Drosophila melanogaster: one gene and its partners. The gene in region 2 interacts genetically with the main gene of each other region. Each region holds a gene or a part of one and is shown on either strand. Other genes may lie near its edges.

Region 1 (4,622 bases), on a different chromosome or scaffold from region 2:
AAGAAATTCTTTATATTAAAAAATCCAATAATTAAAAATGAAAAGAACTTCGAAAACCATAAATTTGAAAACATGTCATAATCGTATGTCATATTTCAAATGCAAGATTATATATAATACTTCTTAAACCACGAAACATAAAATGCTTAGAAAATGTATATATGTACATATATGATCTCTTTCTTGGTTAAGCAGTTAATAACTTTTATTATTTTTAATTTCATTTTTAATATGCCTGAACTTTAATTTGTATACCTGTATTTTCATAAAAATACAGCAATTTAAAGGAAATAAAATAGCCTTTTAACTTCTAGACAGCCTACCCATTTGATAACTTCTCCCTCGGCGATTCAACTTAACTATTTGCAAATTAATTGGATTACACAAGCTGTTATTTATTTATGCACAATTAGTGCAGTAAAACTGCTCTCTCAACACCCAATTATTAATGCTTTCCGATTGGCCGGATCACAAAAAATATAACTAAATCAACAACTCGGAATCGGCGAGTTGCGCGCACTCATTAGCAACTTTTATTAGCCAAAAGTGTCAAATGCTTTATCTCGGGCTTGGATTGGCCCAAACCGAGTTGCCTTAAAGCGTCGCCAGGCATTTCATTTCATTTCATTTTATTTGATTTCATTTTTTGTTTTGCCATTTTTTGCCAACCTTATTGGCCGCTCGACTCGTTTTTATGCGTTTTTAGCATTGTGCGCATGTTAACATTTGTGTTATTGATTTTTTACAACATTTGACAGTTACGCAGACTCCGTATTGGAATTTCGCATATCTTTTTGTATCTCTCAGTTTGTTTGCTTGAATCAAATTCGCGGAGCGCATGACAAGCGATTTGGAGCAATTTGACTTTCGACTGCTGATTGGTTAATCAAATGTGGGTTCATTAAATTGCCATTTTTTTTTTTTTTTTTACATTTAATTGCATATTTGATCGCCGGACCGAAGTGACAGCGCATAGTAATACTATATCATAAACGACACATAAAGTGCTTGCAAATAGCCGCAATCTTGCGGTTTTACTGCTTTTTGTTGTATTATTATTATTTCATTATTTTTTGTTGTATTATTTGTGGCCATTCGGCTTGAAATGAAAATGGGAAATTAGCAGACGGTAAAACGCCTCTGTTTGACATCGTTTGCAATTGGAAATTTACACCATCCTCAGACGTTACAGGTGGCAAACATTGTTCAGTTCATTAATTGTTGATTTTGCACTTTTTCAACCATTCAGCCGCCAATGTGCGTCATTCAAATCGAACGTGCACGGCGTTAAAGCCAAGTTAATATGGTCTAAAGGGAGGGGCAAGGGGGCGCAAGTGCTTTTCGCCAGTTAATTGCATTTACTTCTCGAGGCTTTGTGGCATCGGGGGCATGAAGTGATCTTGTTCGAAATCCCTAAAACATTTGCACTCATACTTGGAAAATGGGTGTTGCAATTGAGCATTTATTGGCATTTTTAAACATTAAATAAACACACTTTTGTGATGGAATTTGGTTTTTAAATATACCAGATAGTTACTTTTGAAATGAATTATGACATTCAAATCTTGAATATATGTACAACCTGTTAAAATATGCTTTCTGAAATTTATATGTACATGTTCGAAACTTTGCTATAGTTTCACATGCAAAATTTTAAACACTTTTGTATATACTCGAAACTGCTCTAAATGAAAATTTACTGGTAAGCTGTGGAAATTTATCGATCTAGCTTATAAGGAAAACAAAACTGCCTTTAAGAGTTTGATTTTATTTTTTAGCGACTAGAGTTCCACTTTATACGATTATAGATACACCCACAAAGTGTCACATTTACCATCGATATCTCTGAGATACAACACCCCCATATGTACATACACATGTACATATATCTATAATTTTCGCTTAAAAATCATAAACAATTTAACCGAATAGACCCGGTAAATCAAAGTGTCCAATGCCTTTGTCAATAAACATTTGTCGTTCCACTAATTGCCAGCGACCAACTTACAAACAAACAAACAAACAGAAAAGCATGAAAAAACAAGAAAGAAATAGCAGAAAAAAAACCAAAAATCATTTATGGCAAAGTCAATTGCGCTAGTGCTATCTCTTTCGCGCGATGTGGGTGGAAGCATTACGTTGATTATCCAGCAAAGCCAACAACAAAAGCAACAACAACACACTCACACACGCACACAGAAAACAACGAAATTTAATTAAATTAAACTTGCTGTTGGCCTGTTTCTCCTTCAGCTGCTACTTCTTTATTCCGGTTAAAAAAAAGGGCGTTCAACTCAAGGGTTTTATTTTGCAATTATTGATATTTATCCGTATCGCTTTTGACACTCATTTGTGTTTAAGTCTACGAAATGACCTTTATCTGTTTAAATTTTCATTATTTGTTACTTCCACATTTGTTTGCGGTTGTATTAAATTGCACATTTTCATTAGCCACAGGTGATATTTGCTCTTAATTGGCATTTAACACGTCGTCATTTTGTAAGGCTTATGTAGATTTTACATTTGCTATTTGAAAATTTATTGCTTACTGTGAAAAACAACTAATTTCTCCACATTTATTTACTAAAATACCACTCCCTTAATCGGCTTATCGCACATTTGGCATCGGATCGCATTGATACGGGATGTTTATCTTTGATTGTCGGATGCGCCATTTGTGCTGATAGTGATAATGGGTCATTTGCCATTATCTTTTTCAATTTCAGTTTACGATGGGCGAATAATAAGGCTGAACTGTTAGATTCCGGCTGAGCGGCATGGAAATTACTTAATTACTTATGCGGGGCGCGTTCTGGTTGGCAACGGAATCGGAATCAGGTTGCTGTATATTCACGGTCAGCTTTTGTCGTTCGAAGGTTTTCATTTTAAAGTAATCACCGGAAACCGCAAATAATTTATATTGTCAAATTTGTGTTAGTGCATTGGAAACCAACCGTTTATTTCCCAACGCAAGCTGAAACTTGAGAAGCGCGGCCGAAAAACGCTGCCGCAAACGTTCCGCACTCGTCGAAGGCTGAAAATGAATTGAACCGAAGTTGAAGTAAGCGAAAACCAAATCACAAAACAAATTAACCGCCTTATCGATATTTAATTATCGGTCGTCGATAGGTGTGTCCGTGCATATAAGGTGAATGTATCCCCTAAATGGCTGTGGCAACACTGAAAATAGTTTTCCCTTGTTTTGGTGTGGCCACACTGACTTTTGGCTTGCTATTGTTTACATTCAATTATTTCGACTTCTTATTTGTTGGTAAGTCAAACCGGCGGTTCCTTATCATTTGCCCGAAACTAAGCAAGAAGTAGGAGTGAGGTTAACAACTTAACGAACACTGTGATAACCTTTCCTTCGTATACAACTGAGAATGGCATTTCTTTGTTCTCGGAGGAAGAAGTAACTTTTTGGCAAGTTGAGCAAAACATTAAAATTCGTATCAGCCACTTGCTACGAAAGTAAATTACATTTTTACCAGGGATAAGTGAGAGGCTTTATAGTCTATCCCCCTATTCCGCAGCTACCAATATTCATAAAACAAAAAACAATCAAGAAGAATGCGCTTAGTCGAATGGCTCAACTATCAGATACCCGTTACTCTGTTCCCTAATACTAATATACCGTTTGTTCGTAGAATTATCGCCACCAGTTGGAAGGAAGCAACACCTGTTGATCATTTTTGAACTTTTCTACTTGTAGCTCTCCTACGCCTATTAAGCATATTTTTCGAGTAATATTCCTAATATTTGTATAATTACCTTATTTAAAATCCTAAACCTGAGTTACGTACTGATGTCCGGACCTGGTTAGACCACTTTGCCATTTGCTAATAATCAATAACTAAGATAGGTCCGGTTTAGAGTTTCTAATACCCTATAAATTAACAGTTAGAAAAATATTTAAAAACGGGGTCGAATAAAACTTAAAATTGTTTACCAAATAAAAATAAAAACATAAAACATTAAAGGGAAATTAAAAATAAAAGAACCTTAAAAAATTAATATATTGTATTGTAAAATTAAAAAACATTTTTAAACCGCTATTTGTAATACTAATTAAAATCTCCCATACAGGAGGATATACACAAGAAACAAAAAAAAAATATTAAAAAACCGAATCTCATTAGCCCAGTGGATTGGTCAGTTTCCCAGACTTTTTTGACATGGCTGATGATCCAGAAAACTCAGTGGATAGGCCCACAGACGACGGAGATGCCGGCAAACCGGAAAAAATGTTTACGCTGAAGAAATGGAACGCAGTTGCAATGTGGAGTTGGGATGTGGAATGCGATATCTGTGCCATTTGCCGTGTTCAAGTTATGGGTGAGCAATACCACTGATTTCAAAACTCTAATCTTGAGTATTAATAATAATAAAAGGTCCTACATATGTAACAATATGTAACTAGAATATTATTATACTGGTGTCTTTGTTAACACTATCTTGTGCATATCGCAAGCGAAAATGTTTTTTACTCACATATACATAAGTGCCTAAAAACTTTCAATTGGTGTATTTTTCAACGGTAATTTTGATTTATTGCGCTTGCCTAAAAATTCACAATTTAAGCACGAAGACACCACCCTACTATTTGGTTTGAACGCATCTCA
Region 2 (3,800 bases):
AATGCCGGCCGGCACGACCTTGAAGCCAGTTGGGTGAGAAATAAAAAGCTTTTGCCGGTAGGAGACTTGTGGAACATCACCCACAAGTGGCGGACTTGGCCTTGGCGATGGCCTTGTTGGAGCTCCCTCAGCAAAAATGTTACATAGGGGGAGGAAATAAGCTCAATTGGCTTTATGCTTTCCGCTCCCTGGAAGTCCTTTTCTGGAATGTTAAAGTGTTAAATGACATTTATTGAACATTTGGGACAGAGGAGGAGATAATACAATATACTTGTCTAATTAAAAAAAATCGTTATTATGATTTATTCCATATGTAAGATTTTAATTCATCATGATTGTAAATAAATTATATAAAACAAATTCAATAAATTTACATTATTGATAAAATTTATTTTTTCATGAAATTATACCCAAAAATTATTCTCAATTTTTCTTATAATCAGTTTTGCATAAGTATACTTTCTTCATACCCCTCTACCACAGCCACTGCTTTCTTGACTTTGCAACTATCCGGGAACAGCTTATCATAATGGATGAGCTGCAGCTAACGGAAAATGGGGGAGCTGGGATCAAACATTTTCCAAGGTTGAAATTGTCGTCAGCATAATGTTTGAGGGAGCTGGATTCGCGTTAGCTTGAAGGTCAATCCATTTGGGTGCCCTTTGTTATGGTCAAGTTTAAGGCTGCAATAGGGGGAATCTTCAAGGACCATTACGCAAGGTTTTCGCATCAAAGATTTGCCGTGCAAGCTTTTTGAGTTGAAGGATGCTTAACTTGAAAGCGGGTTAGTGGTTCCAAGAGATTTTAGGTGAAGGAGACTCCGCTGTTTTGAAATATATTAAGTATGTAAAGAAGTATACTATAAATAACCCAAAGTGATACAATGTAAGAAAAGATCTCGTTGGTCCCTGGTATAAATTTGTTTGCCATTAATGAATATTGAAAATAATAATTATACTAATAATAGGTACAATAAGCAAGATTAAATTGCATTTAATCACCAAAAATCAGTTTCTATGCGAACCAAAATGTCATAACAAACAATTGTTGATTCATCCGTAGTGAAATCCAAGTTCGAAATTCGAAATGAGCATACGACGACCAAACTTCCCCTCAAAATTGCTAGACTCAGCTAGAGCAAGTACGCCCAAGTTAACCCCTGAAATTCGAAATGAATTCGATGCCGCGCTTCGAACAACGAAATCCCAAAGAGCTTACGTTTTATTTGACGTAGCACTCTTACGTGAAATGATTTTCCCCAATTCCGCTCTCATTTCCCGAGTCTCTCACCGCTTCTCAGCCACTTTCCCACCCCCTTTCTAGTTCCGAAGTAAAGGTAACAAAGGCAGCCGTGTCTTTGGGGTGGTAAACTGGCGGTGGTGGTGGCACATTGTCAGTGGTGTGGGTTCCTGTGGTTGGTGGTTCAATTGGTTGGTTGTTGGCATAAACAAAGCACACACACAATACACACAAACTCCCGGGGGGTGGTGGAAATTGGGAGGGTGACATTCACTGCGAGAGAGGAACTCGCTTCCTATAGGAAAGTACAAAGAGAGCTATTTTATAAATGTGACTGCAGCAAGGATATTTACAGTCAGTCCACTCTGAAACCTCGACGAGAGAACATTGAATAACAAGCGGAAGCGAAAAGCGCAGTTGAAAGTTCGTCAAAAAGCGACAAGTTTCCTCGTTCGTTTTCCCGCCAAATGAGTCAGAAAAATTTTCCAAGTGCTCGATACGAAACATAAAGACTTACAAGACTTAAAGTGCAAGCAGTGAATGGAATATATTATTCCTCAGCGATATTGAAATCAAACATTAAAAATATATGCTACACTAAAGTTATATATTTTTTTAAAGATTCATACGTTTTGTAAAATCACATTTTGTATTAAATTAAATACCGCCATGGCCATCGCCTATTTCATACCCGACCAGGCCCAATTGTTGGCCAGAAGCTATCAGCAAAACGGCCAGCAGACAGCAGCGAGTCCAAGGACAACTGCAACAGCTGCTGCACCATCGCAGCAGCAGCAACAATCGCAACAACAGCAGCAGCAGCAGCGACATCATCATCAGCAACAGCGCCCACAATTCCGTGCCAATATTTCCGTGCCGCTGGGAAGTCAACAGGGATCGATGACCATGTCGGAGTTTGGATGCTGGGATCTTTTGGCCCAGATCTTCTGCTACGCTCTGCGAATCTACAGCTACAGTTCGAGCCAGCGTCAACCGACGGTCATTCAGATATCCTTCGAGATCAGCAGCGGCGGTCAGAACAACGATGAGGACGACGTGACTGATGCCACCTCCAAGGAGAACTAAATTTGGTTTCCATATTTCATCCTGGTGGAGAGAAAATCTTTGGGATTTTCTGGGAAAGGCAGGCTCAATCAAAGCGCATTGTGATTTCTTTTTTGGGTATGGACACATGAGGAGGAACGAGTTTTGTAAAACATGGGATATTTCCACAACAAAATAAGAAAACTATTTTTAAACTATTTTTGAGAGAGAGAAAATTCAAAATTTGTCATCGACTTGCTTAAAGTGATTTTGGTTGTTTGTTACTTTTTTGGATGTCAAATTTTCCGATATAAGTTTTGAAAAAATGTTTAATTTTGCAAGCAAAGGTTTCCCGGTTGGTTCAAATACATAAACATACTTAACAACATTTAGAGAGCATAAAGAGAAATGTGTAAAATTGTCATAAACCTTATTAGTGTCTATACGTATGAGCAAAACCACAAGTATCGTACTCAACTAACAAATAATTGTCAAATTTTCTACTTCAACTACTTCAACTACATTTCAACTACTTACAAATATAAATCGTAAACTAATATTACAGAACTACAATACAGAACCAACAACAAAACAAAGATGCAACCGCAGCAACAAGAATAACAAAAGACAACAACTCAATTGTACAAAATAGATTTTAAGCAAACAGCAAATTTTATATGTTTACAACAAAGAGAGAAAATACAAAACGTCTACAAAAAATAGAATACAAGAACCGCCGAACAGAATACATTTTAACAAAAATTAAACAAAACAACAACAAACATTTAAGCAATTTTGATACGAATAATCAAGAATAACAAAATTTGAAATGTATCTTATCATTATTATTGATTTTAGCAAAATTCAAAACATATTATTTTAATTTTGGCATTGCAAATTAAACAAGAAATATTGAAATTAATCACATGTAAAGATAGCATTTGTAAGAAATTAAAATTTTTATAAGACAAACAAGCAAAAAATAAATACAATTTTATAAAAAATTAAAAAATACTTTGAACGATTATTATTGTCCCTTTTCAGAAAAACATAAAGAATTTTACCAACACCATTGCCGAGATATATATATTTAATTACCTTTTATTTCGGAGGTGTAGAACTCTATTAAAATGTTTTTGAAAAATTATTCGAAGCGTTTTTAAAATATTTTAAAAATAAACTAAAACGTTTTTAAAATAAATTCAAAAGAATATTTATTTGTTTCACCAAAGTTTTTATAAAAAAATACGTCAAAATAATATGAAATTTTGTTTAATACACTCTTTTAATAACCGCTTATGAATTAAGCCTTTGTATTCCATTTTGGGCAATGAAATGGCAAAGGATAACCGTCCTGCCAGGAAAAGGCGGAGTAAGCAAACATTTAGCGATCGCTATCGTCAAAACCAATATGTCACCTTAAAAGGGAAAACACATTTTTGGTTAAGGGCAGACAGAGAATTTTCCCGTCGTGTCATGCCAGGCACACTCCACCCAAAAGGGTTAAAAAGCAAAGG
Region 3 (5,186 bases), on a different chromosome or scaffold from region 2:
TGCCACACCACACTATAAAGAGCATAAAGCGCCCACACTCCGTAAAATGCAGCAGCAACACCAGACACACACACACACACTTGAACTCTTCCTTTGAAATACTCGCAGAATATACTCACACGAGCGCGCGTTTGGTAATTTCGATTTCACACATAAAATTCCCCGTAGCTTCGGTTCGGTTCTTCTAAATTTTGTTCACTATCTTCTGCACTTCTTGGCGTTGGAGCTTGTTAGTTTTTCGCGACCAGAACTCAATGGAGCTCCCTTACGAGCAGCGCACACGACTTCACGCGGAGAGCTGAAAACGATTGCTTGGATACCAATATTTTGGTACTTTTGAGTAGAGCCGTCAAAACATCGATGCTACTATCGATAGTATCGAACCGTGCATGGCGATGATATCGAGATAGTTGTGAGCAGTGGAATCAGACTGTTGCAAGCTAATAGGCTAATCTCTCGGGGCACATCACTTGAAGACCGTTGGGATTTAAAACTTAGCAAAATAAATAAATTATTTTAAAGAATTTTTGCAATTGAAAAGACAAATTTTTTAACATTTACATATACATTTATTGGAGAATGCATATAGTTGTGTGTAAACCATACTATCAGCGGCCTATAAACATGATCAACAAAAATACATACATGTGTTAATAAGAGTACTATAACAAGAAATCCATGTGATCTGCGGTCGTGCCGGTGCATTGATACCCTTTTCAGCGCGAATTAGAGCTGCTCATCTATATAAGGTCATTTCAGCGTGCATAATGTATGGTTCAAAAGGGATGCGCTCGGACACAATGCGATAGTTAGTAACGACAACTTACAACCGTAGCTAATGTAAAAACGAATAGCTGCAGTTGGCCAAGTACTTAGTAGACGATTAGTAGACGATTATATTAGCTAATCACCGGATAATTTGAACTTCGCTGTAGTAGTTTGTGTGGGTGCAATCAATCGATTTGCTTAACTGCTAACTAGGCTGGTGAACTCTAAATGATGTCGATATGCACTTCACGAAAGGAACGTGCGCACGAATCCCTTGATGTCTGCGCGGCACATGGGACAATTGGCTACACTGGGGGCGCACTGATTGCAGGTGGCTGTCGGGTTAACAGGAAGTTAGCTACAGCTCAAGGCAATCAAGGTATAGTTCAGCGACTTACCCAAGTGGCCACAGGGCAGGAACACTACGCCAACCTCCTCGTCCAAGCATACCTTGCATAAGCGTGCATCCTTTAGCTGGCGGTTTTCCTCCTCCAGCGATAGGTTTCCGTTCGGCGTGGCCACCGACATCTTTTGTATTTCGTCTGTGATTTTCGATATATTCGCCACTGCTTCAGCTGCCTGTGGTTTGGCTGGGATGGAATCGGCCACCGGTATTGGCACAGATGCTGCCTTGCTGGTGGTGGCCTGACATGGTTCAATAAAAGGAGCACTTGGCTCCGGCGGCTCGCGCACCTCCAGTGCAGCTCCTGCGCCCGCATCGTCAAAGATGTCATGCAATAGTTCGTCCAACGTAGAGAAAGCGCAGCCGGAACTCAAGAGCTTGCGCTGGATGGCATTGCGCACAACTCCTCCATCGATACCCAAGGCTAGGGCCTCCTTGGCCGGAGCTTCATCCATCAGTACGTCTGCTTGGAGCGTTGGAGCCGGAGCAGTTGCTGGCTGGGAACTGGCGTTGGCAGCTGTTGTCGCGAGCACTTCGCTTACATAGGCTGGACCCTTGGCCAGCAAAACGAACTGACACTTTGGCGACCACTTGGCGTGTTCGAACCACGGCTCGTCCTCCTTCTGCCAGGAGCGCAATCCAATGTTGCAGTGGAAACAGCGCACCTGGTCGCCTATTTTCTGATAATATAGGCCAGCCTGCGCCAAAGCCGAAGCGGGCTGAATATTGGAAATGGGCCAATCGGTGAAGGTTCTCAATCTGGCGTCCACGCAGGCGTACTTGGGACGCAGTGGCAGAGTGGTGGGCTGGATGCCCAGCTCATCCAGGTTCTTCCCGGTGGCAAACTCTATAAGGGGGCCCATTTGCACACGAGGACATTGGGGAAAAAAGCGCTTGTGCTCTTCAAAGGCATTGTCGTTCTTCTCCCACTTGGCAATCACTCCGTTGCACCAAACACACTTCACGTGATCCAGACGGTTCAGGTAGTAGAAACCTGCCTTTGCCAGAGCCTGCGGCGTGATGTTGGGATTCTACAAAGGAAGACGTTTTGGGCTAAAGTTAAACTATCTTATTCAGTCATTAAAAATATTTGAAATTATACAGTATACAATAACTTCATTTGAAGTTCATAATGATTTTTGTATATCTTAATTAAAGCTTAATTTCGTAGGATTATCAATCAACATTCAGCTGAATTGAGGCAGCTAACAAGACATTTCTTGTTTGTATACAAAAATATCATTGATACTTTCGACCGGGATTTTCCTGGCCTCATTTACGCTACTTTTTAACTACGCAATCATACTTACATATGCACTTATAGTGAGCTTGAAACTGAAACTATAGTGATTACAATGACCCGCTATGGTGAATCACCAGAAGCGAGCGACACCAGCTCAGGGTACTCACCGGCCAGTCCTTGAAAGTTACCAAGCGATTGGCCTCCAACAAGAGATCGGGACAAGAGCAGGACTCCGGGCTGTCCACTACGCTGTTTCCCTCGTTGTCGCTCTCCTGGCTCCTGGGAACATTGCCGCAGTGATTGGGAGCCAGAACCATGGAGCAGATGGGCGAGGAGCGGCGATGGCGCTCCGCCACTTGATCGCCGTATTCCCAGCGGTCGATGCGCACGTGGCAGAAATGGCACTCGGCCTCCAGCCAGTTTCCCGTGGCAAAGAAACCATTGGCGACCAGATCCTCCGCGGAAACTGGGGCATTCAGGGGCCATTCCCCAAATGTCGCCAGGCGAACGCTCTCCAGCTCCATGCCCAGCTCCGTCATCGTGGCGCTTCTAAATTGGATCCGAATGGATCCACCAATGATGTAATGCCACCAAGGGAATCACCAGCGAGCGCAGACGAAAATGAAAATAAGGTAAGGTAAAAATATAAACTTATTGTAGCGATGTAAAAATAAGCATCGATGTTTTTCGATACATCGTCAATGTTTCATCGATGAAATACCAACTTAATGGGCACTGCTTACAAAAACAAGGTCAAGCAGTTTACCTTGCTATTCGGTATATCCAAACCTAAGAAGTTTCCAGGTATTTCACGAGTGCCATATAACAGCCAACTATTTCAACAGCTGTCCAACCAACGATATAATGAACCAAAATCTCTTGTTTGTATTTTGTACGTTATTTATTTATATCGAGTTCTTCAATCAGTAACATTATACCACTTCCACAGTGCTCTGCGCCGCGCAGGGCCAGGCGGAACTCTCCGGATTACTAAGTGCCCTCCAGTATTTCGGGCTCTTCTCAAATTTGACGGTGTATTCCCTGGGAGTTTCGCGGGGCCAGTGCCATTATAGCTTCGAAACCTTGCTGAAGGAGCGACACACATGTGCCCCGGATGACGAGCACATCATGCACCTAAACCAGCTGCCTCCGGTTCGAAAGCCACCTATTATGATGAAGTGCCTGCAGCGGGATATCGAGAATGAGACAGCATCCGAGCCGGAACTGCTGATAATGCGCAGTGCCAAGGATATAGTGAATCTGCTTAAGCCCATGGGCAATGCCACCAAGCGCCACGAGCCGGGCAACTGTGTACTTGTCCATTTCTGCACCGCATCCAGCTTGGAGTGCGCTCGTGTGGCTTCGATGGTCAACGTGCTGCCCCATTACTTTCCCACGCTACCCATCGCCTATGTGGATGCCTATGAGTTTGGTCGTTTCAATGCAGAATTCGGCATCGTTTCGCTGCCCACACTGATGCTATTCCACCAGGGCAGGCCGCTAATCAAATTCGAGCCCGGGTGGAAGGACACAAAGAGCAGCTTTGCCAGTTTCATAATGAGTCACACCAATATGAAGACTGTGAATCCGCAGGCCATTGATCCGATCATCCTCACTCGCGCAGAGATGGAGCCGCTGTCTAATAAACCCATTGTGCAGACGGATTACTATTTGGGCCTGGCTTGGGCCTTTATTCTCGTCTGCCTTGCCAACTTCCTGCGTAAGACGGCGCTCTGGAAGCAGCTGGTAGAGATGGTGCAGCGCATTTGGCGGGAATCCGAGGAGACGCAAATGGAGATGGTGGACTAGTTAGTTAATACGTTTAATTCTCTATAAGTCGCATAAGTAGAACACTGGATTTACTATTATAATGTAATTACCATTTAATTAAATTCACGTTAACATTTACTTAGGCCTTACGAATTACATGTATTTGGGGAATTGGTAATTGTTGTTTTCTATCGTTCGGAGCCTTCAAATCAATTGTGTTCATTTGCACGCTAACTGGCATCCATAATTTAAAGCTTAGTGGCTAACAAAATCTAAAAACTTGAGAATTAATCAAATAATTCAAACTTATAATTACGATTTCATATATATTCCATTACTTTCATTGAATTTTTCGATTAGGTCTGAGAGTGTGTGTTGTAATGATTTCGGCGTTGAATAGTCACATTTGTTTTAAGTAAATTTAAGCAAGTTGTTCTGTATCCTGCGTGCACATCAATAGCATCTTGAAGTTGTACATTTTTTAGTGTTGCATTCTGGTCGACTCACGCAGGATAAGACAGAACTGGTAAAGAATTGTGTTTGTTAAAAAATATTTGAATTGGTTTTCCTGCTATGGAACAGAACCCAACGCTTTGCTTCCTAGTGTTTTTGAGTGTGCGATGCGGAAGATGTTGGCATACAGATGATCACGTTTCTACTACTTCTTCTTGCCGCGCTTGACCGCCTTGTAGGAGCTGGCCGCTTCGTCCTCCGTGTGAAAATGTTTTACGGCACGTTGTTGGCGCCTCGGATTGGCGGCATAGGGATGTGGATGTATGCTGCTGGCGGAGCAGAAACAAATGTTCATTAATTAACAGAAACGATTAATTAGAATAAGGCACAATACAAAACAAAAGGTATACATAATAATCATTCGTACACAGGCCAATTCGAACGCAAGTGAAAATTTATTAACAGGAAGAGAAGGTCAAAGGGAGCATTAATGGATGATGTGGGCAAGCGAGTGATGGATTCGTAGGATTCGCGCATTATGTCGTTCAG
Region 4 (4,882 bases), on a different chromosome or scaffold from region 2:
TTGTTTTGTCTGGACTGTGGAAAGTCATGGAAACTCTCTGTCATTGGCGATTGTCTGCGAAAGTGTTGGCAGCTCGACTTTGTTGCTGGTCTGTGAAAGTCCACAAGAGCGTCGGGGAGAAGGCACAACTCATTCCAAGCTCGATTGCTTTATGGCAGGCTACTCTTAACCGCACATACACAAATTAGGTCCATCCAGACCGAACGGGAAGGAAAACCAGCTAGAAAAGGCTGACAAGATAAGGCACTCAATGCAATTGATACAAGAGCACATACAATGGCACCTGTTTGCCATTTCTGCCATTCCCGTTCCCCATTTCCATCCAGGGGATGAAGAACGGAGTGGTGTTCTGTCTCGTGACCCACTGGTCTGCACCCATTAGTATCGTCGCCCCCAGACGCGGTTACATTGAACCTTTTTAAAGGGGGGTTGTGTGTGACACTTTGGAAACAGTTGTGATATAAAATAAGGTATTTCGATTATCCAGGGTCATTTTAATTCGTGCGGATTTGGTAGTCATAATTGTTGTTATGTCTGTGGTAGGACTTTCAGAACACTAAGCAGATCTTTTGATCGTTTCCATTTGCTTGTATAATTTCTTCATGTCAAAGTCATTTAGCTAAGAACCCCAAACTATTGTAAAAATGCATAGAGGGTTCGACATAAAAGCACTGGTAACTCGGTTTTCTCAGCCTGGGCGAAGCCACAACACTGAATCCCATGTATAGACATACATGTGTCTATATATTTGCATAAAATCGCATTAAAATTTGCCATTTGGCCACTTTAATGTCCCATAAAACATAAACAACAGCAGCGAAGACGAAGTTGTCGACGCCATAGGATATAAGTTACTTTTTTTGTGCTCTTTGTTTGTGTCCAGAAAGTGTAGCAAAGAAGAAATAGCGAAAAACTTAATGTGCAAAAAGCAGTTGGAAAAGAGAATCTTTAGTCGAGTGCTTCGACTAAAAGATACCCGCTAGCACGTTTAAAACTAAATCTACAATTCTGAATTATGTGCATCCTGTAGAGGAATTTCATTTAAAAACCCAGCTTAGGGCTTTTGAGCTTATTCGAATTTCTAGGAGCTTTAGATTGGACTTGGCCGAGACTAAAAATAAACTTGCACAGCTCAGTCATCGTTAGAACTTAAATGCTGTGTGAGTAAAGGGTATCAAAAAACAGAGCCATGAAGTCGAAAGTTTAACCAGACCCGCCCAGGAAACGAAGGCCAACGGGTGGCGGTAAGTCTGTGTCGTCGGGGGGATGGAACAAATTAATTGTGGGAGAGTCAAACTAATGTTGGGGACTTTACTGGAACCTAAGCGCAAACCTAATGCTGTTACCTAATGCCTCATTAGGCGCTTTAAAATAGGGAAGCCCAAGCGCACAAGAGGACTCGCCTTATAATGTATAATAATATATCGCAGTACCTATTAAACAATATACCAAAAATAAGATAAATAAATACTACACATTTATTGTAGAATTGAACATTTAACAATTGAAGTCATTGGATCCAAAAAGTGAAGTCTCTTCAGACGAACAGCATTTACATGTTCCACAATTTTACCTTCTCCAACACGATTCAAGTGCCCAATCTGTATCGAATCATTTTTGAGCGTTCTTTCGGCACTTAATAAATCGAATACGTTTTACACCGAATTAAACCTTATCAACAGAATATATGTGAAAATCAGAGTAAATCTGTTGGCTGAATTCACTGAATGCCCACTTGAATTTATGGAAATACATGCCAATTACGCAGTCGAGTGCTTTCCTAGACCGACATGCACATATTCGTCTACACCGGGGATCTATGGTGGCCCGAAAGAGGCTTGATTATGTTTACGCAGGCGAAATACACAATTTTCAACGTTCTGTCTTGACCGTCTGTCAGTTGTCATGACCATAATTAATGTATTGCCAATCGAACCCCCATCCCAAGCATGTGTATCTTTTTGGGACATCATAATGTCTGTATGTACAGCATGTATTCAGCTATGCGAACATATGATCTGTGTATCTTGGCATTGAAAAGATCTAATGGTAATGTAGTTTTCATTTCGGCTGGATGAATAAGAAATGGAAATTGATTTTGCGCACGCGAAGTGACAAGTGCGCCAAGACAAACACATTAGGGCCTGAACAAATCGAAAATAGTTTTCGGCTCCGAACAGCGAACTTGTTGCCTAACTCAGATCTTTCGTTAAGCAGTTGACCACAAAATGTTGTTATGGAAAAGCGCTTGGTTCTATTGGATTCCAAGGTGCCCACACTCACCATATGCGTCGATATAGTGCGCCAGTTCTGCTACTAATCCACAAGTATCCATGGGCCCACTGCGTATTTGAACAAAAGGTATTCCAGTTGACAAAGCACTATTTGGAATGTTGAGTAAAATCTTTTCACTACCTTTATATATATGTAAGGGGATCGGGATCCACGGCACAAATCCCTCACTCACTCGCGCACTATCTTCGATATATGTACATATGTAATATTGTGGATGCGGAAAAAGTCTCCGGCTCCTGGCAAAGCGGAGCTAGCGTTCCACAGACCACGACTAGACGGGCGTCTTATGTCTGTGTGTCACGTTGCTGATGTTTGATTTCGAGTTCTGGCTTCGTTGTTTCCTATTTACATTTCGATACCGCTGTATTCCCTCAGCCGCAGTTTGCACTATGCAGCCGCCATATAATATCTGTACAAATATGAATATATGCTCTCGATTTGCGTTATTTTAAGAACTATTTCCTTTTGCTTCTTCACCACTTATGTATGTATTTTTACTATTGTTTGAGTTTCAGCTACAATGCATTTGCACTTTATATTAATTTTTGCCGATGAATTGCACTTGTGTTTGTTGCGGTTGTTGGGGGAACTGGTATTATTTGGGATTTGTCTAACAATTTTTCATAAATATATGTAGGTGTATATGTGATTTAAACATTATTTGGTTACAACATTTTGGGGGTTTTCGGTTTTGAAATGTAAGGTGCTTTGGGAAACCGTACTGTTAGGTTGTCGTTTTCAATTGTGTGTGCTGTATTTTGTATCTTGTTTTTTGACGAACGCGATCGGGCTTCGTACGTGCGAGCGAACAACCGTTAACAACAAAGTCCAAAAAAATACTAAATCAATGAGCGAGACGAGCAGAATGTTAAACGCTCAAACTCACCACACTGGCACGCACACCAAAGTAAACTCACCAGACACGCACACCATGGCGCTAAAAGAGCGAGAGTTAAAAGCGGAATCGGCGCTAAAGATAAATGTGAAACGCAGGCAGCACTCACTCACACAGCCACAGACACACACTCTGAGCAAGCGGCTTGAATGAAAATGCCGATGCAATTGCAATCGTGGAATACTCTTTGTCCGCTCTCCGGCACGTATCTGTGAGTTGTGTGCGAGCGTATATGGCCGTGTATGCGTGAGTATGAGTGCCATCATCGCTTTCATTTCTTGCTGCTTTATTTTCGGTTTTCTACATTTATTTATTGTTTTTTTTTTTCGTTCGTTTTCGTTCATCGCTACTTTCGGGTGCACAAGTGCAAATTCACACGTATGTACGTACATTTGAAATATTCTCGCATAGTGGGACGAAAGGGTCCATAATAAATCGGAAGGAGTGCCACAACTTGCAATAATTAAAAGTAGGATAAGTTGAAATATTTAGCTTAAATTACAGTCTCTCTACTTCACCTTTTCGATACATTCCAAGTTTTATTTTCAATAATCTCTAACATCAATTGCATTTTTCAGTGTCCCTTTAAACTTTATTATTTGAATACATATATGTAGCAAATATCTCAACAAGAAAACAATGAAAACGTTTCATGTGGCCAAAAATACTTTCTCACGTCAGCTGAATGAATAATAAATAAGATCGAGTTAGAAAACCATAGAGAGTCCTCCGAAGGACTGTTTTCCATTCGTTGGAAGGGAAATCCACCTGAAGTCAGTAGACACCGCTGTTTGAAGCAGAATATTGACACTACGAGACGTAATTGACGGAAAGGAAAAAGATCACCAGGAGGGTAAACAGAACGCAGATCAAACTAACAGCCACAACAGTATCTATGAGTATGTACGTATGTATACATACACATACACGTATCACCGCCGTCTGCTGGGCGACGTATAAATTGCACGTTTCGAATACATTGTGGTTAAAAAGTCAGCGCAAAGCGAGCTGAGATACTCAGATACAGATACGCACACATCGCTGCAGATAATTGTTTGCCCATCCCTTCCCCCCACCACCAGCCCCATCATTCGAATCGCTACGTATTTACTTAACGTCGCTGTGTGCGTTGAGTTGACGCTGGGCAAGTTCAAGTGTAGAATGCAATAGAGAATTGCATTTGCCAGAGCGAGAGAGACGACCTCGCTCTCTACGCATACGCATAGAAAAGCCGGCAAAATGCAAGGGCAAGGTGGTGCGGGACTGTGGGGGTGGTCGTACTGACGGTGACAGTGGTTAGCATGTGGTGAGTTTCGCTCTGTTTGGGGTTGGCTAGACACATTGAACCACAAAAGTTCAAGATGAAAACACAAAATATCAACAATGACAGCTGAGTAGTGGGGACGGCAGCGGCTTGGTGTCGGGGGCGTGAAAGAGACTTTGCCTCTCTCTATCTCTTCCTATGTTTCTCTACTTCTATTTGTTTGGGTATACCAATACAAACACAGCTGCAACCCATAACTGCGTCTATGATGATTTTCTTCTCTTTCGTCCTTCCCCACATTCTCCACTCCTCCACACGTCTCGTTCCCCTCTCCTCCACTATCCTTTTCCCTCTTGGCCGACTGCCAAACGACTCTCAGTTCAGTAGTACACTGGAGCAATTGCTTAGAGTATGGGTGCAACATGTAT

The links.
Region 1: of grim (region 2) and Buffy, changing one suppresses a phenotype caused by changing the other (phenotypic suppression), as found in Drosophila melanogaster (2 studies listed by BioGRID).
Region 3: of grim (region 2) and Diap2, changing one suppresses a phenotype caused by changing the other (phenotypic suppression), as found in Drosophila melanogaster (one study listed by BioGRID).
Region 4: of grim (region 2) and EcR, changing one suppresses a phenotype caused by changing the other (phenotypic suppression), as found in Drosophila melanogaster (2 studies listed by BioGRID).

The regions. Positions count from the first base shown.
Region 1 is NT_033778.4:11,677,919-11,682,540, reverse strand, and holds the start of Buffy (buffy), read right to left. Parts: upstream 3,050-4,622; 5' UTR 2,955-3,049; intron 1-2,954. Other genes in the region: Roc2 (regulator of cullins 2), read left to right, coding at 4,176-4,335.
Region 2 is NT_037436.4:18,302,208-18,306,007, reverse strand, and holds grim (grim), read left to right. Parts: upstream 1-1,590; 5' UTR 1,591-1,908; coding exon 1,909-2,325; 3' UTR 2,326-3,289; downstream 3,290-3,800. UniProt on the Drosophila melanogaster protein: Activator of apoptosis, independent of rpr and hid, that acts on the effector Dredd.
Region 3 is NT_033778.4:15,931,618-15,936,803, forward strand, and holds Diap2 (Death-associated inhibitor of apoptosis 2), read right to left. Parts: upstream 3,209-5,186; 5' UTR 3,181-3,208; intron 3,101-3,180; exon of another isoform or gene 2,964-3,100; 5' UTR 2,954-2,963; coding exon 2,582-2,953; intron 2,203-2,581; coding exon 1,167-2,202; intron 1,104-1,166; coding exon 1,015-1,103; 3' UTR 553-1,014; downstream 1-552. Other genes in the region: bug (bunker gear), read left to right, coding at 3,279-3,306, 3,364-4,223; Mlf (Myelodysplasia/myeloid leukemia factor), read right to left, coding at 4,843-4,963.
Region 4 is NT_033778.4:6,128,783-6,133,664, forward strand, and holds the start of EcR (ecdysone receptor), read right to left. Parts: upstream 3,060-4,882; 5' UTR 2,336-3,059; coding exon of another isoform or gene 2,284-2,335; intron 1-2,283. UniProt on the Drosophila melanogaster protein: Receptor for ecdysone. Binds to ecdysone response elements (ECRES) following ecdysone-binding, and recruitment of a complex containing the histone methyltransferase trr, leads to activate transcription of target genes.